Linked DNA regions of Lepisosteus oculatus. The protein of the gene in region 1 interacts with the protein of each later gene in a pairwise test. Links are inferred from orthologs where the notes say so. Each region holds a gene or a part of one and is shown in the gene's direction. Other genes may lie near its edges. The genes, in order: growth arrest and DNA damage-inducible protein GADD45 gamma-like, lrif1, arpc5lb and tsnax.

Region 1 (6,584 bases):
TCTGTGAGAGCTGAAGAGATTTTACAGACCAAGAAGGAAATGCTTAATCTCAGAGGAATAATCATCCTGGAGGAATACATGTGCAATGCATGGAATTCCTGAAATCCTTGATGTTCCTGGAGAGGAATAGAGGAACCTCTGGTCAGGAGACCCAGAGACCTGAAGGAGGAGAAGACGGACAGTCCCTGTCTCTATGACCCAAGATTCACTGGCTTCATGAGGGGCGAACCAGTGCTTTTCAGTGGCGTGGAATGTTTTGAGGGACATAAGGTGCTTGATGGATTCTGAAAATATTTTGGAAAGCAATCGCTTGTGAATTTCCAAGATCTACACTTGTGATGCAAAAGCAGTACTCACAGTATCTAGACAGGAAGAAAATCAATAAGAACACGTCACATGTGTGGGAAGAAGTTCAGAGAACTGCTGAAAGGAAGAAAAAGAGAACAAAAGACTTTTAAAGCTTTTGACACGGATACCGATGTTGTAATTTTTTTTACAGTTTTTGTTTACATTGATGAACATATCGATTCTGCTTTTCTGTATTTAATTTACCAGTAATAAACAATGAGTATTTAATTAACGTATGAATTTCGTTATTGCATGGCCATTTAAAATTAAAAAGGGTATACAGACAACGATTCCTCTTGAGTAGGTATGGATACCACTTGGGAGTGTACTGCAATATGTGCACTTGAATATGTGATTTGTGTGTCCAAATCCTGTAAAAATGTTAGCAATATAACCCCAGTTTGTACGGCTTGGCACATATTTTCCTTAAAAAGATCAGCGGGAGTGTTATTTTCAGAATGACATTAGTTCTGATATATGAAAATATAACATCACTTTTTTCTGGAGAATTTATTATCAGCCACAGTGAATAGACCATTTCTTTCATTTATTATTTTTCTTTAGCCAACACAATACTGATCTTGCACTATAAATGTTTTCAAATAAAAGGAACAATAGTTCCCATTTAAAAATATTCTTTATCAGTAGCATAATTTACCTGAGAACTATTTCCTTTGAAAGCCCTTAAAATCAGGTCATTTCAAAATCACATTTAAATGCAATTTACATATTTTAAAATGGTTTCTCTTCGAAGTATACATAATTGAATTTCAGTTGGACTATTCTAATAAATCAATAATTGAAGTTTGGTCAGATCCTAATAAATGCAACATAAAGATGGAACTGTGATGAAGGTGTGTTTGACATAATTTACCTAACTGTGAGAACAACAGGCTAACTGCTGACAGAACATCCCTCACTATAGAGGGGAATGAGCTAGGGAGCTGCTCCCAAGGTAAAAACAAGGGAGGGTATGATAGAGGTATTAAGATATAGTTGTCAGTAAGTGGATGGAGTTAGGATCATTCCTTCTACTACTTTTCTGTTTAAAGCTCTATTTGCTTTTGTTGTGTAGCATGTACCGTATGACCACTTCCACCCCTGAAGTGCAGCTCCTGTTTGGGTGACCTGTAGCAGCCTATATGTGACTAAATTATTCCTTTTGTTTGTAACAGCTCTTATGTTCTGACACAGCCATTATTTCTTTAACGAAAAAGTACTCAGGACTTCATTGTAACATCTCATCCGAAGAACTCAACCTCTACATCATAGTTTCCCTGGTCATCATAGTGTGGGCTTCTGAGATCTTAAAGATCTGGCTACAATGTGGAAACGTTGATGTACAATTTTATGAATGAACCATAAAAAGGAAAGTAAACGTGTACTTATTCAGACATGTCTATTCAATTTGAGCAGTGCATTTTACTGTAATCGAGGACAAAAATAAATTCAGTAATAAAAACTCCCACTAGATGGCAGAAGCGGTCAGGGAACGCACAACTAATTCTTCCAAGAGCTCATTTTCTATCAAAATGTTCTGTTAGCGTGAGATGATTGCTTTCACGTCTCAGTTGTGAGATGTTAAATTGATCCAGGTAGATCAATTATGAAGCTAAGACTTTACGTGGGATGAAAGCCTACTTATTGCTAGTGAGGTTCTCCAAGAAGTGGAGTTATGCACCCCTGCTTTAAAGCAAAGATTATTTGGTTCTTCAACATATTATCAGTTACTGTCACACTGATTCGATCCAAAATGGACAATTTTTGCAAAGTGTAATTTCCAACACAATTCCCAATTTGCAGAAAGAGCTTTAGATAATTGCAACTGTTCATATTTTCCAAGCATCACCAACAACAAAACATCCTCTGAGTTATAACACTTTGATAACTAAATGCATATGTTAGCATTTTGGAATCAGCATGTGAAATAGACAGAAAAGGAGGTTACTCTTGGTTATTAATAATGTGGTATTGGACCATGAAAGCAAACTGTGAAATTATACAAAATTATCCATAATACAAGTTTATGTAGGAGTTGCTTCAGACAAATCATTGCTAATCTTCGTTCTTTGGTGTACAACTTTGGGACTATAGCAATAAAAGAAAAGGCTTGTTGGTGAGCTATCATCTTAAATTTGATTGATTCAAGGTTTGGTTATGAGAATATCGAAAGCAAAGTGTGGTTTAAACATTAACTGCTAAAATTTGAGATGCTGATTCTAAATGATACTTCTCAGATGGAGGCTCATTAAACTAATCAAAGGGAATGGTACATATAATTATCCCTTTTGCCTTTTTAACACTCAATATTGGTACAAAGTACATGTACAAATGTCAAGGAAAAATGCAGGTAACTAAGAATTTGGAAGTAACTTTAAAATACAATCAGACATTAAAGAACCTTTGAAACCTTATTTGTGTATAACATTTGCAAGGCTAATCTGTGATACATGAAGTATACAGGGGCTTTTGATCTCTATTCACAGAACGACTTACTTACCTACCTAAACCAGTAAGCCCCTATTCTAACACCCGACAGACCCCTGGTGTGCATGCGTCTGACGCGCTATCAAATCATTTGCAGTTTTATCACGCGGGCTGCCCACTGTGCTAAAAGAGCGTATCGACAGAGTGGAGCCTCCAAGAGTCTCAGCACAGCAATGGACACCGATAACACAGGGGCTGCCCAGCTGTTCACTCTCCCAGGAAACCTGTGACAGCAGTCAGCTAACGGGTCTCGTGGCTGCAGAGCACCCCAGCGAGCGGCCTTCTGTACACGAGCCACTCGGGGGACTCTGAAAGAGCACGCGTCTCTTGTCGTTTCCATAGCACGGGAATCTACTTAAATAAACAGCAGGTGGCGCCACGACTGCAGTTTCATACAGCTCTGAAGTTTGCAAATAGACGATAAGCTTGAAAAAAAGCATTTCATAAATTGACTAAAGAGAGGGGTTTAAATATCCAATGTTTTCATAAATTGGGAATAACAGTTTGTGCATAATACATTAACAATTCGTGCATTTCACAACATGTCATTAACGGACTACTATGCATGTATAATTAATTGAGTGCAGTTATTTTTCTTATTGAGGTGTGGATTTCAGGACTCATGAACATGGTATTGGTTGTTTTTCTTATCAATTTGTTTTAGCTACTTTTAAATATTTCACTGTTGCCTACAGAGGGAAAATACAAATTGAGCCTTTGTCTTGAAACTGCGCTCTTTCTCAAGCCAAAGTAAAAATAAAAAGAGTTGAACACGGTCAGAATAACATACCGTGGTGTGTTGAATTATTCAACTTTCGGAGCTCATCGAAATGCGCAAGTTTCAGACGCGACTGCAGACTCGTGTCTGCTGCAGAAGCTGGACGCACATCTGCTGCGGTACGTGACAGCGAGATCGGGGAGATAGCAGAAGACAGGTCAGAGATCAGCCCACCTCCCCCACCTTGTCGAAAATCCTATACAAGTGGCAGGTGGAGCCCAGCAGCAATTCTGAATGGCGTGAACTGCTGAGACCCCCAAACCGCCACACGCCGAAGTCTGGCCATTGTGTCGCCTTTACAAATGCAAAGGAGTGGCGTGTGCCGTGCTCAATCTGCCATTACCCCCCCACCCCCACAGACTCTCTCTCTCTGTTGATAGCCCAAGCAAGACAGAGACAGACGTGTGATCACAGCTACTTTAAAAATGCTGTTTCTTTTGACTGGCGGAAAAAATAAGCAAACTCCGCATGGATATCTTGTTTTACAGAAAACAAGATTATAACTGCCACCTGCAGATTACAAACTTGCTCTTCGTGATTAAAGTAATTTGTGGCAACGCACTTTCATTTGAAGTCTTTTAATCTTTTTTTTTTAATAAAAAAAAAGGCAGGCTCCAGTCTGCCCAGTAACCAAAATAACAAAAGGAGCAGACTTCGGGCATTGTAATCCCGCCCCCACGTGGGGCCCAGACACGAGCCGCAATAATTACTATAAGACATTAACATACGTTTTATCTTCTCAGCCAATCAGCGAGCACTGCAGTTGTACCGCCAGCCCACCACCGAAGAACACGGCCGGCTGCTTATAAAAGAGGAGCGCAGCTACATCTGATCACAGACTAAAGCTCTTCTTCTGTGGAGTGCTTCTACGGGTGACTAAAGTGGATAATAGGATAACTATGACTCTTGAGGAAATTCACGGACAGGAGAACACAGTTGAAGCCGGTGACAGGTAAATATAAACGAAATGAATTCATTTAATTAAGTTGATGTTTTTAGTCCCTTGTATAAAATCAGGAATTGCTACATTGCATTAGTCGGAATATTACTGACGATGCATTTTATCATCTTTGGTGTGCTTGCATGAGCAGAATGTGGCTTATTCTGTTAAACTAGAGGTCGTTTTTAAAGAGGCTTCCAGACTTGCTGCGTGCTCCCTGCGAACTTCAGTAAAAGGTTCTTACAAGTGATTATTTTTATTGATTTCCAGAATGATGTGTGCTGGCTCAGCCCTGGAAGAGCTCCTGGTTTCCGCTAAGAAACAAGAAAACCTGACAGTGGGAGTGTACGAGTCTGCAAAAGTAATGAATGTGTAAGTATTATCAATATAGTCTTAACTCCCGGTAATAGACCAGTTATTCTATTGTTATGTTCCGCTGAGTCAAACAAATCCTAAATTGCGTTATAATTTTTATGTTTGCAGTGACCCAGACAGCGTGGCTTTCTGTGTTCTGGCAACCGATGAGGAGTACGAGTGCGACATCGCTCTGCAGATCCACTTCACCTTAATCCAGGCCTTCTGCTTCGACAACGACATCAACATCGTGAGGGTGAATGACATCCAGCGACTGGCTGAGATTGTCGGGAGCGATGAGTCAGGCGAACCCCAAGATGCGCACTGCATTCTCGTCACGGTACGTACAGTCTCCTCAGTGATGTCCGTCAGTCCGTCTTTGCTTTAAAAATCTATGCAGATTTAAAAAAAAAAACTTTTTCTAATTACCATCTCTTCGTTTTGCTCCTATTACAGAACCCAAACTTGGATTCATGGAAGGACCCGGCTCTGGAGAAGCTGAGCTTGTTTTGCGAGGAGAGTCGTAACGTTTACGAGTGGGTGCCTGCAATTACGCTCCCTGAGCGATGAACTGGGACTTTTCAGAAATTGAAGATGCTTAACCTTTGGTGCATTAATAACCTGGAATACGAGGGGGACCCGACATATTCCTGAGATCTGTGGATTATCCTGTTGAGGGCTCAGATGAAAGTCGCATGGGCGGGCGTACAGAAAATGTCCTTTGAGGTGACAAGGAATCAAGTGCAACGGGATCTGCAGGAGGACGGTTCGTACCAAGGTGCCCCCAACTTCACTGGCAGTGCGGGGCCTGGTATACCACAGAGGAGAGCGGAGGAGAGCTCTTGAATTTTTGAATGGTGTGGAGGCTTGACGAAGGATGCAAAGAGGAAGTGCATTGTGCAGAGTACCGGCAATGGACTGAAAGACTCGCATGAAAGACTGAACGTTTTTAGAGAAACTGGAAGCTAGAACAAGTTTTAAAAAATGTGGAACGGACTGATTTAACCGAACAGGTATTTCAGAATCGGTATAATATAAAAAAAAAAAACTATTACGCAGATATTTTTGTACGCAGTTTCGTAATGGATCAAATTATTCAATGTATGGCTGTGAATTTTACAGGATGTTTGTGAACATCGCAATAAAACGATTAAATGTACTATTGCGTCGTGTGTTGTGAAATGATCTCTGCAGCCTTCAGAACGCATAAGGTGATTTTGAACAGCAGCAGTTTAGCAAACACATTGTAGACTCACTTTATCACGCAACAATGTGGGGCACGCAGCTGATGCTGGACGTTTGACACAAAGAAACACGCATGGAGTTTGGCTCAGGAGCGGTCTGAGCACAATAGTCAGCAGAGAAGCTAACGCTCTCTATTCAGGAAGAATTGACCTCTCACCGCCAATGCGCCAGCTGCTTACTTCAACAGCTTGCATAACTAATGAGATGCATGCAGAATGAGTTTCTCTTTTGTAGTAGGAGGCTTTTGTGCTAAGGGGAACCGTTGGGGGGGAAATTTGGCAAAAAAACATTTCCTTAAATCTTTCTTCCTCTAAGCAGGTTATAATTTACTACAATTTACTCATCACCTGCTGCTTAGAGAACACGAAAATGTGCAAGCACAAGTTTTGTATTGAGTGGCTCCCACTAATAGTGGAAAGTGGTAGTTATTCT
Region 2 (7,419 bases), on another chromosome or scaffold:
CTTATTTAGGCTTTTTATATTTATAACCTTATTTGATAATTTCAATGATTGTTTACTTCATAGGAGCTCACTATCCTTAACTGACACAGTATGTTTAAATATTTTTTTTCTTATCTTCAACCTTAATGGCTCAATTTCATCAGGTGGAAGTAATTTAACTAAATGTTTTCCAGGTATTAACTGGAATTAATTGAAAGGTACTGTACGTCTTAAACCTGCAGAACATGCCTATCCCTGTTCTACAGAATGATTACATTTCTCTGATTTGTTTTTCTTTTGGGAGACTGATCTGGCCTTGAATGAGAGCAAACTGATGGAAAAACTACAGCTGCTGTGCCTTATGGAGGTAATAGAAGACTGTTTTTTGAAAGTTTTTGCATGGTGAAAGGATTTAAAAGAAGGTAATTAACAATATACTGTATAACTGTTTCATAATCTGTATGGTATTCCATAAATATTTTGGAGAAACGGATTAACGGCTGTCTTAAATTTCAAGGTAGACAGCACTAAGTAAGATATAGAAGTGCTGTAGTGACGTATAGGATTATAGTACGTCAATAGACAGTTAAAACACCTCTGTGCTCCCCAGATGGTATTTACCAGACCAGCTCATCACCGACAGATTACCTTCCAGGAAATTGCAAAGGAAACCAAGCTGCCCATCACTGAGGTGAGGCTGAAGAGACAGAGAGAGTCTTGAAAAAGGCCATGCTGTTATTTGCTGTTGTTGGTAACCTGTGAAAATCCAACCACAGTCTACAAAAATTATTCAGTGGTATCATGTTTCAAAGAAATATATTCTGCATCTATAAATGTATCTCCTTCCGTGCCTAACTAAAAACCCAAGGAGAGTAGACCTTGGTGTAAGACATCACAAACATAGATATTACAGACAATATAATTAAGCCTATATACATGTCTCTTCAGGATAAGTGGTTTCTTGAGTGTCACTTCCTTTTGTTGATTTGGTTATGATGTCCCCTTGAACCATATGCCTCTGCAGGTTGAGCTCCTTGTAATGAAAGCCCTGTCTAATGGTCTAGTCAAGGGGAGTATTGATGAAGTTGACAGGAAAGTGCACCTCACTTGGGTTCAGCCTAGAGTAATGGATTTAAAACAGGTAAGTTGCCTAAAGAGACCTTACAAAGAAGAAAAAATACTCAATCATTAGAAGAATCATAATTTTCTGATTCCGAAGTTTTTACATTTTCATGTTTTAATTTTTCAATTACTAAACATTGTGGATAAGAAAGAAACACCTTGTGGCACCATAAAGAAAATAAAAATCTGGCAAAAAAGTTGTTTTTTCCTGTAGTGGAAAATGTCTCTTTTTGGTTTCCTACTTTAAGTTTCTTTTGGGTAAGGGTTAGGGTCACTTGAAGCCATTTGATTTATTCATTTTGATACTAAGACAGTAGTTCCTATAGTTCCCATAGTTAGGTATATGCATTGAATCATTTACCTTGTTAAAACAGTTATGCATGGAGATATCCTGGCATGCTTTCATCAGTTTTTGTGAAGGAGTTTGTCTATTATTGCTCCCTGTTGTCTCATAAGCACATCAAAAAATTTGGAGTGCACTGGGTAATGTAGTATAAATTACACTCTCAAGAACAAGCTCATTGATGACATCACCACACGGCACTTCAGATCTGAAATTAATTTCACAAATGTGTTTTGATCAAAGAGTGTTTTAAGGTGTTTCTGTCCTTAGATTTCTGAAATGAAGGACCGTCTAGAGAATTGGTGCGGGAGCATCAGGAAGACTTCTGTGCTGGTGGAGAACCATGCTCATGAAGTCCTTGGATAAGGGGTGATTGATCACAGATGTTTATGTTAGCAGTGTTCGGTGTTACCAGGAAATAATTAAGGGCTTTTCAGACACCAGTTTATACCGCTGAAGCAGATTAATGTATGTCCTGCTTTTTATTATTAAAGAATTAGATCCAAGCTCTGTCTTTCTGATTATTTGTTTGACGGTGTGCTCATTGTTCCCAGTGCTCCTTTTAAAGGTGTTTGAATTTAGAGTATGTTAAATAAAAACGGCAAGAAAACAACTGAATCTGTTGTGTTGGTTCTTCATTTCTACAGTGAATTTTTCATGGCTTCAAAGTTTAAATACTAATTTATACATTATTTGAATCCATTCGTTGCCCTGGGTTGTGCACTACATTCACATTTCCCACTTCAGCTTGGCAAGATAATTGTCGAATCTGCAAGGTTTAACTTGAAGGTATATGTTTTCAGATGTCAGTGTAAATCCCTAGTCTGACCATAAACACTACAGATTTCAATTGCAAATATTTTTGCATAACCTTGCTACTGTAACTCAGATGAGGAGCATTATTCATAATTTATAGGGTGAATAATTTAGAAAGTTTTTTTTTTTCTATCTTATTTACTTTTACAGTTCCAAACTGTCTTGTGTGGTGTACCCGTGACTTCCACCTGGACATAATGGCCATTGACATTTTATAGGGTTTTTGCTATACAGTAGTTATCACAATTCCACTTAATCTTTAAAGCTACATTAAGCTCTGAAAGGTGGGTTGTGTTTGTATGTAATTTATTAGAGATATGATTGTCACAGTCATGCCCGCATAACATGAAAAAACAGTGAACTAATCTCTCTTTTTGTTATTGTGCCTTATCAGCAAAATTTTATTGTGACAGTGCCATGATATTGATACACTTTCACTATGACAAAAAATGATGCCAGACTGCCGCCTTCTTAGATCGCCATCTTCTGTGTCAGTGTAAAAAAAAAATGGCTTTTTGGAAAACTTATAAGTATAATTACACATCCTGACTCAGGTACCTACTCAAACTTCTAAGTATAGTTGGGATGAATGACAAGGAACAATATCAGTGTTTCACATTGTCTGCCTCGCTTAATCCTATGATTTTGTACTACATTGAAATACTTCTTTTGTTACTTTTTCATTTGGTTAGAGAAGCTAGGTGTTAGAAAAATAGAGACCCGTGGAAGGGACGTATGAATAGAATCATTCAGAAATAATAAACAAAATTCTTAAAGGCATGAGAATTTTTTTAAATTTCAGCATTTAAATATTTGTGAAACTGACTTTGGTTCTGGCAGCCTATGAAGGTTAATGGCTAAACCAGCCTGTGCTGTAGAATTACAGGCAGCATCTTTGCTTTTGTTGTTTGTTCTTATAAATAAAATAAGTATATACTGTACAATAAACTCTTAATTTCAAGGACTAATAGGGGGAAAAGGTGTCTGTTTAATCATGAATTAAGTTTTTCCGCTACACAAAACGAGACGAGAAAAATATCTACATACAGTATATGCTCTCTGGATCTTTTTACTTTTTTTAACAATTGCAATCAACACAGTCAATGAAAATTGATTCTGTGCCTTTTTTACCATAAATTAACCAGCTCTTTATTTCATGTGTTGGATATAAACTGTATAAAATTCACTAAAACATACAAAACAAAATACCCATTGTAAGCAACTGACCCACCATCAATATTTCTGAATTTTAAACTTGTGTATTATTTTATCTTGTTTTATTGTATGTGCATTTTAGTGTATTAAAAAAATGGTTTATAAAAAATGTACTACAGCATGCAAAACACAAATAACATCATGAGCAATTCACCTATCCCTATACCACCTGCTCTACCCATAGGGGGCACCATTGATATACATGCCTATTCAAAGGTGTGCTGTTCAAAAGGTGTTGTTTATTATTTTAGATATTTTTTATTTTTCTAAGGTGTATTACATAATAGTATTTTTTTCAAAATGCATAAAGCATTGTATCATGTTATGTTCAGTCTTTTATTCTGTTATTCAAACAATGTCAAACCACGATGCAATCACTGTTCAGTAAATGTACTTTTAACTGTTTCAGATTAATGTATTTTACCACTCACTTATACTTATTTTTCTTCTTTTTTGTCCCATTTATATGAATAAATCAAGATTTTTGTTCAGACTATCTACCAGTCTGATTGTACAAACACAATTTATTTTAGCATATTTTGTCCTTTAAAGCAAAGTTAATTAAACTGAGTGTTAACAGTAATGTACAGTGTCATGATATTAATATTATTCAGTTTCCAGGAAATGAATTGTAAACTATCGACTGTCGTATATAAAACAACTGTAGTAAAGTGTTTACTAGATGAGTAAATAATCACCTTCTTTGAAACGACTACTTTGTTATCGAACATATAAAATGAAAGTCGACGTTTTCTCATTTGGTTTCCTGTCCTAACTATAAATATGGAAGTTTTGCTGGTGGTCTATAGATGTCGCTGTTTCTGCCATGAAGAAATCTACTTGGGGATCTATTTTACCACAGGAAGTTAATGTTTTTGATCCCGGAAGAAATAATATAATTTCGATATAACATCCAGGTTAACCGGAAGTATAAATCAGTTGAAGAAGTCTGGTATTTTTTTAGAGACTGGTTTGTATACGGCTATCCAATTAGAGAAGAGCATATAGTATTTACAGTCTGACGAGTGTAATATTGGGAGGTAAGTTAAGCTTCAGATAAGATGAAGTACATATTGTAAAATTTTACAAACTTAATTAGATCATCTGGAACCCCAATATTCTATGTTTTAACCCAATACCTCAATTTAGCTGAAGAGATATCATTAAATATGGCGTCTCAGTGGTTATGCTGATTTACAGCACTGGGCAAATAGTCCGTTTTTAATCTGTATTATATTTGTAGATTATGTATGTATGAAGGATTTAGTTTTTATTGTAATTGGTTAAAATATGTTTTTCTTTTCAGGGATTCAATAGAAGTGGCTCGAGTGAAACGGGGCGGGCGTTGCTCTCAGGTCCGCCATTTTGCTCCGAGAAATTTCTTCCTGCGCTTCACTGGTGGAGGTTTGCGGTACTGCAGTAGGAGTGGTGAAAGGTGGTCTGTAGAGGAAAGGACATGAGGGGAAGGGTTGCTTAATAGTGAATTCAGTATGTCCCAAAAGAAAGCCATTTATTGTACCAAAAGTTAACGCAGTTAATGCTAAAGGCATCCCTGGTGTTATTTTGTGATACAATTCTAAGACGGTAAACACTGATCTTAACTACTCGGTTCACCCTTCTGGCTGTGAGAAACGGAAAACAGCGCTTCTACTGACAAAAGGTTCGCTCTCCCTTAACTTCAACGTAAATCCTACATGATCATGAATAATAACTTTGTGAGATTTTCAGTACCGCTTAAACCTAGCGATAATCTACCGGCATCTTCAAACCAAAGGTAAGACGTGTGTATTTGATTAATATTTTAAATGTATTCGAATCATAATGTTCCTTAGCATTGTATCAGATGAGCAAACGAATATTATTTAGAATATGATCCAGAATAATTGGAACTGCGGGAAATAATGTCCAGATCGTGTGTGGAAATTGAAGAATAAAAATCTATGTGATCAGTGTGTATGTGACTGTCATCGCAATTATGGTGTGAAACGTACTTCTACAAATCTCTAGAGCAACCGCAAAGGTTTTATCGGTAGAGAATTTTCATGTAATTGAAACAAAATACTAAACATAACACTTAATTTCAATCACACATTTAAGACTTACTAAATACCGTTTGTGTATTGGCAATTTATCTCCATATTTTGCTGTGTAAAATGTTTTTTAAAGTCACTACAGTAACATGTTTCTTTCGTATTCGATGTTCAAGGACCTACTATTCGCAAAATGATCGTGTTTAGCTGTACGGCCATGGACACTGATGATAAAGATGGATTGATCGCAATTTTTTTCTGCTCATTTAAATTCCGTTTTTATATGAGGCAGAAACGTGTTAGTATGACATAAATAAACGCTATGATTTATTTTAAAATGCACTTGAATAAGCCTAAGAGTTACAGTTATTTACTTTGTTTTTCTTATTTAAAGTAAAGCAGAACTTTAAGATAAAACTCGAGGGTTTAATTTATGAGTGGATTGTATATCAAGTTACATATAAAAACAGTGTAACTGAGTTTCTCCTGGCTTTATGTAGCTCTTGTATTTACATTTACTGTTGAGCCTTTTTTTTCATAGGGTTTCCTAAAACGCTTTACATACATATCCTGAAAATGAAAACTCAGAGGGCATTACCTTTTTTCAGAGCAGTGAAAAAGACTCTTGCACCATGTGTGTGAACCGCAGCAGGGATGCAGAGCTTGGGTTTTAAAACTCTGTGAATCATGCCATCTTTGACCTAAGCAGAATGTTTTTGGCCATACTTTCTGTTGACTTATTCTTTGATACTGCAGTATAGTTTTAACAGTTTTGTATATAACAAGAGCAGTGAAGACAAATCAGAACTGTTTGGCAAAAATGACTATCAGACACTATATTTTTCTAAACTATTATGTTGCCAGGTTGTGTATTTTTACACTAATTACAACTGAAATTAAAAGATTATGCAAATCTCTACACATGTAGAGGTAATTTTCTAAAAGAAATACAAAATGTCCATTTTTTCTATTTTATTTAAATTATTATAGTCGGGGTGTGCCCTACTGTCTGTACAATTGAAATCTTAAAAGTCTTTAAATTAAAATATCAGTAAGGGCAGACTAACTTAGTAGACTGATTTTTAAGCAGGCCATCATTTAAATCAAGTTTTGGCTTTTAATACGGTGTAGTTCTAAATAGTTTATTTATGAAGACTTATGCCATGTAATTTTCTACATTTTTAATTAATTGTTATTGTTTTATTTTTATTTAATTTTTTATTGTAGTTCATCATTTTGGTGGCAGTTGCATTTGATTGTGCTACATACAAAGTGTGCTCACTATAATACAATCTAATGTTTGGTTTTATGTCATTGTATTGCACAAACGACTATAATAAAATGGGGGGGGGTCATATTTCCATAATTTGTAAATAGTTCTCTATTATAAATATACATTTATTTCAATGTATTGTATGATTCTCTTTTGCAAGAGAAGTTTAGCTTCTGTACATGGACTTTCTTGTGGTTTCATCTATTGATATATTTCTCTTTTTTTTATTTCAGTGTGTCACATGGATATTATCAAGTAATGCCTACCATATGCTCCAATGGGCAAAATATTTTAAAACTGATTCCAGTTCAGAAAGTTGGTGGGCAGTTTCTTCAGATGCAAGCAAAAATTAATTTGTCAAGCACTTATAAAAACAGTGATGCTGAAGCACTTGTGACTACCAACCAACCCGCCATCCGTTTCACCCCTACTACAGTTTCCCCTGGACCAATTGCTATTTTACAACAGACTAGCCCTGGCAAATTCATTCTGAAAAGACAGTCAGATGGGAATGTTTTAGTAAATCCAATTCACGGAATGGGACAACTCCAGGAGAAAGTTACTTTTGCCACAACATGTTCTCCAGTTCATATTCAGGTTCCAGTAACACCACACAAGCCACAGCAAACCTCTGCTCCAGT
Region 3 (7,086 bases), on another chromosome or scaffold:
CGCCTGGGCACCGGGACAGACGGCGTTAACACACAGCCCCGCGCGTCCCCATCATCTCCTGCGCGATCAGCCTCAGAAGCTAAAACTACAAAACCTTCTAGGCCAACACCCGGGCTGCGGAACCATGACACCCTGCTCATCTCTTGTGACCCCAGCTCAGGTGTTAGAGCCATCAGGCACCGGTTAGAAAAGAACACGACCACTGTTCACAGCATTTCAATACACTAATTGATACTTTTTGCATTACAATACAAAAAGTTGGCTGGGCCACCCAGTGGTACACCGCCCAGGCTCCTTAGAAGTAAGAGTGTTTGCAGGGTTTTTCCAATAAACTGTGGGGCAACAGGTACAGGTTTATTCCACACTGAAAGGAAAAGAGACAACATTTCAGCTCCACAGCCAAAATGTTCTCTTTTCCTTTCGGCGTGGAATAAACCCGGACCTGTTCCTTTGCAGCCTGTGCAAGCCGACACAGCTGGGACTGGAACTATTTCTATGGACTGGATTGCTCTCTCCAAAAGCAGATGCCTATCCAGATGCAAGGCGTTCCTGTTGGACCCACAGAACTGACACAAGTAGACACTCCAATATTTTATTGTCCCCAGTGAAGAAATGTGGATCTGTATCTGCTTTTACGTGCATGATGACAAAAAAAAAACGTCTGTTCCACTAGCGTGAATTGAACTTTCCAAAGGTGAGCACACAAGCCTACCTACTAAAACTCCAATCAATACAACTACAAACAAGCGGCATTATCATTGTAAATACAACTAAGTGCTTTCTTGCAGCAGAACAAGTTCCCCCCATAAAAATGTATGAGAATGTTTTAGAGGGAATCTTCTTTCTTTACACTGGCCTGCCCTGCACTTTTGTTTTTTAATAGGTTTCTGAAAGCAGGTCCTCAGCTTCGATTCAGAGCCGCACAAAACGCAGCCAGTTTTATATAGGTTGGCCAACGAAGACTAAATATCAGAAAAAAAAAAACAAACGAATAAAGCCTTCCGACCAAGAATTTTAGGAACCCCCATATTCCAATACGATCATCGCAAAAAGTTATCAAACAAACCCCGCACCACATGCACAAGAGCTGTCCATACAGCGAGATCAGATGATGCTTAAAACAAAACGGTTAACAGTATATCAATGCTATTCTATAAAAGAAGCGCTGGAGGGGAAAACGCTACGATTTATTAAGCCATGCGTTATTCTAGCCACGTAAAAGAACCCGACAGCCATAACTAGTTTATAAAGTGCCCAGTGAGAATCAATCTATTAAACGTATTATATAGAGGGAAAGTCGTGTTTCAACTGGTTTAATAACCCATCTGACTTTTAACTAAGGAGTTTACACACGCTGGCATGTGTTCGTTGTACATTATAACGTTTATAAAGCGAAGGATTAAACGAGATTGGATTTGGAAGAACGGTATCTCACCATCGTCAGTGCTGGCTGTCACAGGAAAGGAAGGCCAGAGGGTCACGGCGAAGCTCTACCGGGTTACGGGCGCTACCAACGTATTTCACAAAAGGGGGGGGGGGGGGGGGAGGCTATAGGAATGTTCCATCTGTCACTCGAATTTTAAAACCTTTCCCTTATTAACCAATGTAACATAATCGTTTACTTTAGTAAAGACGCACATAATGTTGATTGTATTGTTGCAGACGCTACCGACCGCTAATCTGTATATATATAAATCACGTTGTTGTTAGATGCAAAAGCTGACGTTTAATAAGGTTAAATGTCTCCCTAATTTATAGATACTTGTAGAGGTTACCATGTAGGTTACAAAAAATAAGTTAAAAATTTGAACACATTGGAGAGAACTATAAAATGTTTTCTGATTGTAATATCCCTGATACGTAACATATTTTCCTTTTGAAATTAGGATACTGTGAACACTCTTAAAATAAAATGTAGATTAGTGGTCTTCTGTTGAGACGTTTCAGAAGAAAATACCATTCCTCTCTATAGTTATAGAGCTATAGCATATGTGTTGTCATTTATATCACATTACAAAATACATCATTCACGTCCATTTAAATCAACACAATACAATAACCATAACAAAGCACGAAAAGTAAAAGCTGACTCGTATCTTAGCTGTTAAAATGAAATGCCCTATAACCTGCGAGGTAACCTACAACCGGGCTTCATGTGGGAAAATTAATTCAGAAGGTATTAATTTATATTCCGTACGCTCGCCATTAAAAGAGGTCTCCTAAGCGAAGTCATAAATTAGGTTCTTAATTTTATTAATAGATGAGCTATCGTGAGAGGACGTGTCTTTAATAATATACCTATATTATGCTACATTTCATTCATTCACATTCCAAACACAACCACAGCCCACACATCACAATAATAAATAACACTGACAATATTATTCAATAATATTTAATCACATTTAAAACTAAACAATCACGTTTACTACTGTGAAGTGACACAAGTAATAACTTAAAAAAAAACGACACAAATTCTTAAGGAAAGCCTCCATTTTGTGGAAGGCGCACACTTTCATTATTCATTCATCTTTTACATATGCGTCAAGATCAAGGAAACGACCAAGGGATGCAACTGCGTGTTTCTTTAAAGAGTCACTGTCTGATGAGGAGTGGCAGGCGAACTGAACCTCTTATAAAAAAATAAAGCATCGGTTTCCTTTAGCCAGTGGCACTGATGTTCATTCAACATCCTTTAGGGCCACCATGTATTCTGGTTTTCACTCCAGTGACCCATAAATGGCTTAATAGGAATCAATTGTTCACTATATTGGTCAATTTTCCTCCAATTCCGGGTTGCAGGGAAGCCAAAAGCTAAACTGGCGAGCAACAGGCACAAGGCAGGATACACCCTGGACAGGATGCCAGTCCATGGCAAGACAGACACACAGACATGCACAAACTCACACCGGGGCCATTTTCCCCTGAGGCCAATAAATCGACCAGTGTCTCTTTGGACTGTGGGAGGAAACTGGAGGAAAAACCACAGGAACAGTGGGAGAACACGCAAACTCCACACAGACAGCACCCCGAAGGTCCAGGATTGAACCTAGCTGGAGGATATTCTGTTTTCAATGGAGGGGTAAATTAGGCAATTAAGCACCCAGACCCAAGATCTGGAACCCCTGCTCTAGACTGAGGTAATTCAAGATATTGGTCTCACACGCTTATTACTGCCACTCGTTATTAGAGCCGAGTCGAAAAAAGCGACCACAGCTCGGGTAATACCTAATAGAAGTTTGGGTCTTCAGAAAATCAATTATTTCGAACTGTATTTAGTTTTCCTCTTTCGTAAAACCAACATGGCACACTTACATTATTGATAAATATCGCCGGAAAACGTTCTTATACACAGCACCATTTTGTATGTTTAAAATGAGGGAACATATTTGATATTTTTCATAAACAGGAAACGAGCCTTTGAACTGGGGAAAGGGGTGTATGGAGTTTGTTTAACAGCGGAGCCATAATAACAACAACAACTTTGATTTATTTGAAAACAATATATAAAAAACAGCTCTACGCCCTCCGAACAACTCAAAATAATGTCCCCAGAGGATGGAACCGCTTCAGGAGGAAATCACTCAAAAGTTGCGTCAATTTCTCATTCCAAAAACGACTCTGTACGACTCATATGCAACTATTACTGGATTCAACTCACATCTTCCCAAATGGCAGATCGCCACCTTGGAAGAAAATCTTAAAATCCATATAGATTTTTTTTTAAATAATTCAACCCCAGAAGAATGTTCTTTTTAAAAAAAAAAAAAAAGATTCATCGATTGACATTCCCGGTCTCACAAAGTCACAACCATTCGTTGTGAAGCTGTATTTCATTGCATTACATTGCACCTCTGTGCAGCTGAAGTGAACGACTGAAGTCCCGGACTGTAGAGCGACGGGATAAAACACCTGCACACAGAAGCCCCGGCGCGACACCGACGCGCCCTGTGCGCCCGGCTCCGACCCTCAGCCGGCAAGACGGTGTGCCACCACCCACCTGAGCGGAGCAGCCGGAGGCTGGCTGCATCAGGTCTGGGTTTTGTCGCTGTGAGGTAGTTCCGTTTCCGCCAGTCTAGAGAGCTGCCATATTTTTGTCTCTCTAGAGCCCAGGGAGGGAGGGAGAGAGAGAGAAAAGGAGGGGAGGGAGTGAAAGACAGAGGTAGAGAGTGCAGAAGGCAGGCAGGCAGGCAGGACTTGGGCTACATGAGTGTCGCTGCGCTTTCGGCCCGTTGCGAAAAGTACAGTATTTGGACACCACCCCCCACCCCCCTTCCCTCTCCTCCCCGCCTGCCCCCCGGACCCGGCCAGCAGCAGGACTGGGCCAGCAGCAGCCCCGATGGCGAAAAACACCCTGTCGTCCCGGTTCCGGAAGGTGGACATCGATGAGTACGACGAGAACAAATTCGTGGACGAGCAGGAGGAGGCGGCCGAGCAGCAGGGGCCGGACACGGCCGAGGTGGACAGCCTCATCAGGCAATATCCTTTTTTTATTCCCCTCTTTTCCCTGGGACGCGAATGGAAGCGCATTGGGTTTCAAATGACGTGCAGATGGGTATGCATCATCTCCATAGACTAACACGGGTGATACTGTGCGTGTCACGGGGGTCGGGGTGGGCTGTATTGAAAGGGGGTTACCCGAAAGGTACCGGTCAAGCCTCTGAAAGTTGCCGGCATGGGCTTTTTATTGCAACTTTTCCAAAAGCAATCACGACCTCGGCAGCTGCTGCGGCCGGAATTGAATTCACGGAAAAAACGGAGCTCCACATGAGCTGCGACCAGAAAGCGTTGGGGGGGGGGAGTCTGTTTTTTTTTTTTAAAAAGAAAACGGGGGGACAGTTTATACATGCGTTAAAGGATCTGCCCTCAAAACGCATGCGACATGAATCCCCGAATGACCCCCCCCCGATGTTTTCATTGACAAGATGAGGCTGGCTGGAAACTTGGCGAGTGCGAAATCATTTCGCCCAAATGCGTCTCTGCACTTTTGACAGGCTGAAACGTTAAGGTGGCGTTAGCCCAAGAAACAGGCATGGTCTTGGAGGGGGGGACGGCCGTAGACGTCTTCAGCTGGTCAGGTTAGTTATTAATCGCCTCCCCTCCTGGTTGTGAAGCTAAGTGGGCAAAACCGGCGGAGGTTTTCGCCCCGACCAAGCTGTGCTGTTTCACTGGCCCGATGCGCCCTTGCTCGCTGCTTCTGCCCCAATTCACTTTATCGCACAGGTGCCCCGAGCAGGAGACCAGAAATATCAGCCACCACAACCCCCAGACCGGTTCGTGTAGCTAGAGAGAAGCACATAGCCTGTGTCGTGGGTCTGGGCTGCCCACTCGCTGTGTGTATTTTTAGAGGAGGGGTGAGACACTTCACCGCCGCCGTCTTTATCTTTGGGGGTTGCGCTTTAAATAACCTCCCGGGATCGTCCCCCCCGTCGGATGACCGCCCAGTAGACCACTTTCTTGCGCCTATTTCCGAGTTTAGTGGATTAATTCATCTTTCTCATCTAGAACCTCACCAGTACTTGGGGGGGGGGTGACCTCAATTTACAAGTGGGACCTTCTTGCAGTACATACCATGGTACACCCCCATGGATAACTTTTATTTTTCATGTTCACGTTTTATAGACAGGAATGTACCTCGGCGGTTTTTGGTCTTTCGCCTCCACAGTGTGACTTCAGGGTTAAGAATAACTGGATCGAGAGCACACGGGGAAGCTGGTGCAGTCTGTCGTGCGAAAAACGCCTGTACGTTGGCAGTATTTTGCATGCATATCGCCTGCAAGTACCCAGGACATAATACGTTTCTCCTGATCGACCGTTTTAAGATTTGCAAATAATTTGGATGTCTTTAGGTGCTGGTTTTTAGATTTCCAGGTCTTTAATAACTATTTGAACGGGTTCCGAGCGCCCTGTCAGCTTTGCTCTGCAGACCGAGGGCTGTTTTGGAGCAGCCTCGCGTTAGTCATGCTAATTAAAGGCGCACCGACGGCGAGTCTGATGGGCCTGTCAGCTGCACCCTGGTTAGCGAATGTACTGCGGGCGACATTCAGGGCAAAAGCATAAGTGCACTTGAAGGAAATCAGGGGGAGATTGTACTTGATCCTTACTCTGTTTGAAGCTCAGGTACGGTATTACGGCACCCCCTGAAGAATTAGGCTTGTAGCGTCTCCCCAGCAGATGCAGGATTATACTAGTTTAATAGCCCCAGACCGAAGATCTCCCCCCCCCCCTCTCAGATCCCAAATCCTTCCCTCCACTTGGCTGTGTCCAGGTGCCAGGAGCTGCAGGGGGAACAAAGCCATCTGCTCCGAATTGCGCCAGCAGTCGGCTGTTTGGATCCGTCTTTTTCGTACGGCGCAGGGGAGGTAAGTTGGCTGTGCAGGTTGGACGTGGCGCCCTTGTTCTGGGGTGGACTGCAATCACAAAGGAGTAAATAATGTTTTTCCCCCTCAAGCCTGCTTTACCAGTATTTTAAAGCGAAGGTGTTTTGTCACTAAACGGTCTGGCTTCTAAACCGCTTTGTCCAGTATGGGGTTGCGGGGGGTGGGAGCTGGAGTCTAACCCACCAAACATGACCTTCAATTCCTGGCCTTACTGGTGGTTCTTTACGGACAGGGTTAAGGAACTGAATGGGTTTGGTCCTCCCTAATTTAGACGGAAACAGTAGTGCGCTGGATTTGGCAGTTCAAATTCTAGGGGTATCACCTGTCGGGAAGTTCTTTGAGTTGACTGCTACACAAGGACTCGGATGGAAAAGAAACGTGTATCTTTAGCATTTCAAACGACCTCATTTTCTGGGAACAAAAATCAAGGGTGTCCAATCATAAGTTCCCAGCCATATCGTCAAATCCTGATCCCTTGGAGTTCTTCAGGAGATGGACAGATGAGAATGGGGGAGTAAATGTCTCGTATAAGGAGCACAGATGAACTGGGCTTAGTGGTTCCTCTGATTTCTATCTGCTCGTGTGCTCTCCTGTGCGGTGCTACGGTCGACCTGTTATGAAGAGGATGTGGCTGAGCTGTGAGACCAGAGGAGGCTTTGTAACCCATTACTGCTCCTTCTGCCTGACAAGAGCTGATCTGAGCATG
Region 4 (7,622 bases), on another chromosome or scaffold:
GTGTTGACTGCAGCTCCAGTTAGACACTAGATGCATGCTGCAAAATGCACCACAGAGATCAATTTATATTCCATAAGCTGTACAAGAATAAGAATCTTCTACCGCTCACTGGGAATTTCAGTTCTTGCTGGAAAAACTGTAAGTACCTAAAACACCTTTTTATTTCTGAGAAATATCGCTCTTTTTCCATTTCTGCGTTTTGAATCTCTTGTGTACCGAAGGTTAGTTATGCATTTTACAAAGCCTGAATTGAATGCGTTCAAACCCATGGAAGAAGGAAAAAAAAAACTGAAAAACTTCAACGTTTTGCAACCAAAGATATGTTGCCTTTGGAAAATATAACCAAAGAATCAAATAGCATTCATATCCATCTTAAGATGCAGTCTTACTTATTACAGTTCTAACATCTGTGCTCGCATTTGTCCTTCGTTTTCTTCAACGATAACATTTTCCTCAGTTTCTTTTCCCAGCTCCTGTTACAAAGTCACTGCGGTCATTCGTCTTTACTGTCTGTCCCTATGGTAACTACGTAACACTGCTCAACTTATTTTAATGATCATTTTGCATCACCTGAGCATTTCTCAGTAACAGGTTTATTCCATGCTGAAAAGAGAAGAAAGAAAACACATGTCAAACTGACTTATACAAAACAGCACTTTTTTGCTATGCTGTTCTGTATAAATTCAATAAAGCCTTTGCTGTAAAAAAAGACACAAATATGCATTCTAACAAATGCATAAAGTTTCAGCAAATGTGGACAGGTTAAAGCTTTCTCGTCTTAATCCAAGGGGTCTGTGTTTTGAAGTGCTCGACTACTCCATTTGTACTTCATATACTATTTTAATGCACTTTTTAAAAACAAAATAGCTCGATTCTCTTAAGGGCTTTTTCCTTGTTCTCATCACAAACGTGCTCAAAAAAATAAAAAGGGATTAACATTATCACTGCAGTGAAATCAGCCTATATAGAATTCAGACGACTAATTTAGTGAGCCACGTTTTTTTTTTAATCCTAAAATGTTCTTTAACCTCTCTTTTATTTTCTCCGTTATTTGAATACAGAAATGCTCTTTTCTGGACTTCGGAACATCTGTCACTTCCAGGCTCAATCTTCTTCGGTCACATGGAATTACATCCGTCAGTCACTTTCTAAATCACGTGTGCGTAAAACTCTCCCTGATGCTTTTCATTCCCAAACACGTACAACGTGCTATAATGATTTACACCGGTATCGAACGATCGCCGAAAAATAAACGTTTGTCATCTCAATAAGAATTCTGGAAAGGATACAGCTCAGAACGGGTTCTTAATTGAGCTGGTATTGCGTATTTCATTAGACAATTAGGCACTGCGCTGATAGACTCAGCCTGGGTCCGTGTCTACAAAGTTATTAGCGGACTAAGGCCTCGCTTTCCTTCGTCAAAGTGAAGAGCATTTCGCCCAAGGATCGCTGGTCAGTAGTCCATCATGATTTCATTTTAACGCTGACACACACAATGCCTGCATCGCTGTCGAATGGAAACAGCTACATTTTTCCCCACTCCAGGAAAAAAACACAAACACAACTTTCCCTTTTAACCCCTGTAACTGTCCATCGCAGAAAACACGTCAAAAGGGGTCACGGACTATATTCCAGCTGCTTGCCACTGCGTCTGACGGAAACGAATGGTGCAGAGGTGTCGGACAAGAGCAAACACCAAGGAACTCGACTACTTACGAGCTGGAAAAGCACCCGGTATTGTTAATGGATCTTGGAATAAACTCGTCTGTTTTCCCCGTCACCTGCTGCTTCAGGTCAAAGTAAGTGTTGTCCCCCCCACCAAGACTCGGTGCTAAACGTGTCATCTCACGCATTTTACAGACACGCGTGAAACAAAACTCTCGAAAGACAACAATCATCCTGGCGCCTCGTTCCTCACACGTGGAGGTGTTTACCCGGCGGTTCCCCGACGACAGCTGGCGGGCCAGTTTTTCACCTGCTCAGGGGAGAGGAGAGGAGAGGGGAGGGGAGGGGGTGTGGAGGGTTATGTGCACCTGCGCGCCGGGGGGGTTACACCGTCCGCACCTGGGGCGCTACTTACTTTCGTCCTCCCGTTTATTTGGTAGTTTCCCAGTTTACCATTACAGTGTCTGACCAGATCGTCCATGCGGCTCATGAGAAAGGCTATCTTCTCACAGCCGGGCTCCTTCCCCTCGATCCACGCGATTTTGTCGCCCCGGATGTCCCTGGAGGAGTCGCTCCGCTGGCTGACCAGCTGGCCGTCCGTGAACTTGCCGGTCTGGTGGAGGGCTCTGACGTCCTCCAGGATGCGCAGTCCAACCTCTTCCCCGAGGAAATTGTCCACCACACAGATGCCGTGCTTGTTCATGCAGGGCACGATGTACTCCATGGCCAGCTTCTGAGGCTGGGCTTTCGTCTGACCGTTGGGCTTAATGTTATTGTGAATCCCGTCCCCGGCTTGCTTGTTGTTGGCGATGCCACCCGGCTCGTCCGCGCAGTTGATATGATCCGTCGTCCCTTCCCTCTCCGGAGGCCCCGTGTCCGCCGGGCTCTGGGAAGCCGGCGTGTCCGGCCCGGGGCGGGCCTTCTGCGGCGGCTGTGCTCCTTTCCCGTCTCGGACCGCCCGGTTCTTCTCCGGCTGCGACGGGCTCGGCGCTTTCCCCGCCTCCTTGCACACCAGCTTGTGCTTCTTCCAGTCCTGCTTCTGGTGTTCCCTGCTGCAGTAGAAGGAGGATCGGCAGCGCCCGCACTTGAGCAGGTTCTCCATCTTCCCGCAGAGCTCGCAGTACTGCCGGTCCCGCTCCAGGTCCGACAGCGTGCCCTCCTCGCTCGCCATGGCTGCGAAGTTCAGCGGCGGCTACTGGCCCTTTAAATCCAGCGCTGCCCCTCGCCCCGGCGGCGCAGTACAAGTTTGGAAGGGATCCGCCGCCGCAAACAAGCCCAAAGGAAAACCTGCTCCCTCCGCTTCGGCGCGACGCACTTTCATCACCCACGCTGCGTTACCCTCTGCGGGTTACTGGAGGGCGAACACCGGACAGTGCAGACGGCACATGGCGCACTCCCTCTGCACTCCGAAATGCCCCTGGTCTCAGAGCGCCAGTCTCCCAGAGACACATGGCGCCGCGCTCTTTCTCCGCTCCTCACGTCGTCCCTAACCAACCCCAACCCCTGACGTCAACGAGGGAAGGGCAGGGCCCGCCTAGAGCCATTCACAAGAACCCCAGCAGTGGAGTGCGGCCGGGGAGGCGTGCGTGTCTGTGTGCAGTCCGCGGCGTTGTCAAGTCGCCCAGACAAATCGGGTGCCCAGCCCGTAGGCGGTTTCGGAACCGTGACACCTGCGGCCGCTCCGACGCGCTTCGGAACGCGTTCGCCTCTGTGCCTCAGAATTCCAGACACAGCGACGTCACAATGCCGAGGGGGGGGAAACAACTAAATCTGTTCTGGGTTTCCTCAGAACTGAAGCCTTGAAATTAGGGGCTCGTCCCTGGAGCGCCACCCAGCCGCTGCTGTCAGAACTGCCGAGCGCTTATTTTAAGACGTAGTTTTTTCTGTGGAGATCTGGCATTTACGACACGCGACGCGCAGCGCGCGTTTCCCTATTCTTCGAAATACTCTGCCATTGCATGTATTCTTCGTGACCCATCAGAAATCCGGGATTTGCCGATTTTGCCATCTTCTACAGCAATTATTGATCAGGCAGTGCTTACAAAGAAGAAATAACGCATTTAAACACACACCCTGAAGGTGTTACGTTTGCGGGAAGTATCTGTGTTTTGTGTGATCTAACGGTGCCAAGAGCATCTTGGGACCCTTGAAAGATGTTTTTTCTGAGTGTCCCAGAAAAATCCCGTTGTTTTTATTAATGCAAATGATAGGCCAGCTGTTGAGCTTTTTTGTGGACTCCAGGGATACTGCTGTTCAAAGCAACGTGTTTTAAGCGCCACCCTCTCTTGGCACAATAGTTCGGAACCCTCATATCTCACTTTTGATATTATAATGCACCCCGTATTTGGACTTGGGTTTTGTTTGTGGGTTGCAAGTTTCCTCACTGCGTGTGCTTAACCCGATTAGGCAAAATCAGCCTTGTTTCCCTAAAACCAGACGAGATTTCTTTTTTTTTTCGGTCTGAATATAGTAAAGGCATTGTATGATCAAAGGTACCGCATAATCAGTTATAACAGAAGCATAATTCCCTGCATTTGTCACACCTTCATCCCATATACTTGTAGGATCCATAACAATAATCTACTTTTTTTCCTGTCATTAATTATTATGTGCTCACGTGTAAGAATTGCATTAACTTTTTGAGTGTTTTTTTAAATGAAATACCGGTCTTGTACAGTACGTATACACTGTACACACCACGTTAGAGAGCCGCTATATCTTAAAAATACATTTCCCAAAATGCAATTTTCCAGTATGACGTATTTTTAAATTGAAAAGATCGGCTCCCGGCCTGAAAAGCAAAGCTCATGCCACTATTAAAATAAGTACGTCTTAGTCACAGTTCGGTCAGAAAACAACATCGACGTTCTTTTTAATTTCTATTCGATTATTGTGAATAAAACTAAACTTCTAAATATTTTATTTACCTACATGATTTTCTTTCTTTTCTGTTTTAATTTAACAGGCAGTTGTAAGGCAGCTACAGCATATCCAGTGTTCTAGGAGCGAAACATGGTTGTTTAGGAAAGCGTGGTTTGATGTAAACACATCCTTGGGCACAGCGAATTGGCGATTGTTAATTTCTGCAATTAAAGTCAATCAGAGTTTAAATAACAAAGAACATTTTGGTAAAAACTATTTTAGTTCGCGATGAGTAGAAAAGAAGGTTAGTGTTCAGTGATTTGTTTTGTAGGTAGTAACGGAATTCACGACATATTGCTTGAAAGCCGGAGTTTTCTGTCGTAGGAAATTTTTGTTTTTTAATATTCATTAATTTATATTTGTTGTTTTTTTCAAACGAGGTGCTTGCGTGTGGACAGTTCTGACATTAATTGGATTAAAAGCAGCAGTGATGATGTCTGCTCACACGCTGTCGGTTGTAGTGTGGGCTGAACGGCTAATTGCCAAAATTGTCCTTTCGAGCTAATCCTCCTTTCAAAAATACATTGGGTGTTGTTAATTTGGTTAAGAGGGAGGGGATAAGATAATCAGCTGTGGTTGATTTAAAAAGCTCAGGAATGGCATCTGTCAGCTAATTAATCGCAGTCACAAAGAGGAAGGAAAATAGAGACTCAATTTCTGAAAGTAAAATTCATTGAAAATGCGCGTTTAACTGGGTAATCTCAGATCACACAGCTAACAACATTCAGAGCTAACCAAAGACTTGAACGGGGTTAGTCCGCTAAGGCGAGCAGGAGTACACCGCTGTTGTGAAAACACATCTGTTCGCATTGTTAACGGTATTTGTTTTACACGTGAGCCTTTTCTGATGGTATTGGGGAACAGTCCCTTTGAAATGCGGCTACATCCCCGTATTTCCTTTGAAATTCAAATGCTTTTATTGCCCCGCGAATAGGTCCTTATTTACAAGTTGTTTGACGCTTCGTTAAAGTCGTCTTCTAAATAAGTAATGATAATAGTTCGTTTGTGATCTCAGAAGCCACATTCCTTTAAATTGTATGAACATCCTTAACAGTGAAGAATAGATCTTACCCAATCATTCCTCTGTAGCTGCGCTTTGATCTTATTTTATAAACTGACAGACAGGACGTTGATATGAGTACAGAAGTTTGAAACGGAACCTTTTTACAGGGCAATAGCAGTTATTTCATTGTCTATTTGCTGTTTGAGGTTTAAGACCATATAACATACCGTTTGAGTGGTAACATGCCTGTGTGTGTTTATGGGTTTTGGTTTCAAAGGTGATGGAAGTTTTCGGAAACGGAGACAAGATTACACTCCGACCCACAAAATGGAAGATCAGGACGATGGTACTAACACAACTTCAGCTGTGATGGCAGCATTTAAATGTAAGGAAATACGTTTTTTTTCATGCTAGAGCAATAGAGAAATAGAAGCAACAAATGAGCAGACTGATTGCTGGTAAGTCTCTGCATTATACTTAAGAGCTAGTTCTTTTGTAGTACCCTGACAGAACAGTTGAAATTGGTGTCAAGGTAATAATTATAATAATAATTACTTACACTTATACGGTGCTTTTCTGGACACTCCACTCAAAGCGCTTTACAGGTAATGGGGTCTCCCCTCCACCACCACCAGTGTGCAGCCCCACCTGGATGATGCGACGGCAGCCATAGTGCGCCAGAATGCCCACCACACACCTGCTATCAGTGGGGAGGAGAGCAGAGTAATGAAGCCAATTCACAGGAAGTGCTTTCCCCCTCTTTTTATAGCATTTCAGCTGGAGCTGGACACCAAGCATGACAAATACGAAAGGCTGGTGAAACTGAGTCGCGATATTACCATCGAAAGCAAGAGGACTATTTTTCTCCTTCACAGAGTAACCAGGTAAGGTGTGACGTTTTGCTGAATGCAGGGCTTGGGCTATCAGAATCTGTTTCATCCTGGACGCTACTGGAATCTGCTGGTGGATTTAAGTGCAAGCATGACCATAAAACAGTGACAGCGGTCTTCAGTGCGTTAGCCCCAGGAATAACTTATCATGAGTGAGTGGAGGGCTTGTTTTTTCCAAGGTGGTGGTGAGGTTTGGATGTGGTGCCTTCTTGCTATGAACAGACCTGTGTGTATTGTGTATATTAACCAATAGCTGCATTGAATGGTACTCGGTGTAGTCAATGGGACTCATTGTAGATAGTAAAATGCTGATTTGGTGTTTTTAATGTAAGATTAAAGAATAATAATACCCTGGAGATACATTATAAGAAACCCCTTTTTGATGTAGTTCAAGGAGGTAGCTACTTGAGTCAGCATGTGTAGGCTGCAAAGGAACAAGTAAAGGTTTATTCCACGCTGAAAAGAGAAGAAAAGAAACAAAATGTTTCGGCTGTGGAGCCTTCTTCGGGTGTGTGATGCTTTTTGATGGTTTGCTCGCCATATATAGGTGCTCTGTGTAGGCTTTTAGTGTATTTTTTTAGGGGTTGCCACATTCCAGGACTGTAAAGTACTTTTTTAGAAAAGAGCGGATACCGTTAACAGGCCCCTTTGCTTGAAAAGAAGCAGTTAACATGTTCATGGTTCGTGCTTTCTGCAGCTTGAGGAATAAGCAGTGTTTAAACTGGGGGACCAGTTGGTTGCCTGGCGGGACAGGTTGTGCTGCCTGTTGCTCTGGGCTGAGGCCGATCGTCAATCCAGCAGGCCCGGCCAGCCGTGTAGAAAACAGGGAGCCCCAACAGCCCTGAGGGCGGAGGAGCCCACTGTCAGCCCAGGTTGTAGGTGTTCCCAGGTGCCGGCTGTGTTACGTGAACCCCTTTAATGCCTGGTCTCCCTCTGGCCGCAGCGTCCCCGGAGTGGCGGAGGTGTTGGCGGAGTCCGAGGTGAAGCTGGACGGCGTGAGACTGAAGATCAAACAGATCGCCGAGGAGCTGAGAGGGCAGGACCTGCACCAGTACCACAGGGCCTTCACTCCTGGTGAGACGTTATAGCCAACACCTCAGCGTGGCGCTGGGCGCCGCAGGCAGCAGCTGGCTTGACACCTG

Evidence for each region.
Region 2: the proteins of growth arrest and DNA damage-inducible protein GADD45 gamma-like (region 1) and lrif1 interact in binary tests that used the Homo sapiens proteins (3 or more experiments, as listed by UniProt). The link is inferred for Lepisosteus oculatus from reciprocal best matches to the Homo sapiens genes GADD45G and LRIF1.
Region 3: the proteins of growth arrest and DNA damage-inducible protein GADD45 gamma-like (region 1) and arpc5lb interact in binary tests that used the Homo sapiens proteins (3 or more experiments, as listed by UniProt). The link is inferred for Lepisosteus oculatus from reciprocal best matches to the Homo sapiens genes GADD45G and ARPC5L.
Region 4: the proteins of growth arrest and DNA damage-inducible protein GADD45 gamma-like (region 1) and tsnax interact in binary tests that used the Homo sapiens proteins (3 or more experiments, as listed by UniProt). The two-hybrid records come from large-scale screens. The link is inferred for Lepisosteus oculatus from reciprocal best matches to the Homo sapiens genes GADD45G and TSNAX.

What each region holds. Positions count from the first base shown.
Region 1 is NC_090698.1:49,457,620-49,464,203, forward strand, and holds growth arrest and DNA damage-inducible protein GADD45 gamma-like, read left to right. Parts: upstream 1-4,442; 5' UTR 4,443-4,512; coding exon 4,513-4,565; intron 4,566-4,823; coding exon 4,824-4,925; intron 4,926-5,036; coding exon 5,037-5,247; intron 5,248-5,363; coding exon 5,364-5,477; 3' UTR 5,478-6,066; downstream 6,067-6,584. Other genes in the region: growth arrest and DNA damage-inducible protein GADD45 gamma-like, read left to right, coding at 1-14. UniProt on the Homo sapiens protein: Involved in the regulation of growth and apoptosis. Mediates activation of stress-responsive MTK1/MEKK4 MAPKKK.
Region 2 is NC_090700.1:36,709,848-36,717,266, forward strand, and holds the start of lrif1 (ligand-dependent nuclear receptor-interacting factor 1), read left to right. Parts: upstream 1-4,419; 5' UTR 4,420-4,515; intron 4,516-4,781; 5' UTR 4,782-5,169; coding exon 5,170-5,249; intron 5,250-7,011; coding exon 7,012-7,419. Other genes in the region: 26S proteasome non-ATPase regulatory subunit 13-like, read left to right, coding at 280-346, 590-670, 1,004-1,120, 1,715-1,810. UniProt on the Homo sapiens protein: Together with SMCHD1, involved in chromosome X inactivation in females by promoting the compaction of heterochromatin.
Region 3 is NC_090719.1:13,112,058-13,119,143, reverse strand, and holds the start of arpc5lb (actin related protein 2/3 complex, subunit 5-like, b), read left to right. Parts: upstream 1-4,066; 5' UTR 4,067-4,339; coding exon 4,340-4,480; intron 4,481-6,391; exon of another isoform or gene 6,392-6,410; intron 6,411-7,086. Other genes in the region: rpl35 (large ribosomal subunit protein uL29), read right to left, coding at 1-3, 1,436-1,438. UniProt on the Homo sapiens protein: May function as component of the Arp2/3 complex which is involved in regulation of actin polymerization and together with an activating nucleation-promoting factor (NPF) mediates the formation of branched actin networks.
Region 4 is NC_090712.1:5,069,216-5,076,837, forward strand, and holds the start of tsnax (translin-associated protein X), read left to right. Parts: upstream 1-4,622; 5' UTR 4,623-4,815; coding exon 4,816-4,831; intron 4,832-4,966; exon of another isoform or gene 4,967-5,405; intron 5,406-5,867; coding exon 5,868-5,975; intron 5,976-6,359; coding exon 6,360-6,474; intron 6,475-7,423; coding exon 7,424-7,554; intron 7,555-7,622. Other genes in the region: egln1a (egl nine homolog 1), read right to left, coding at 2,081-2,836.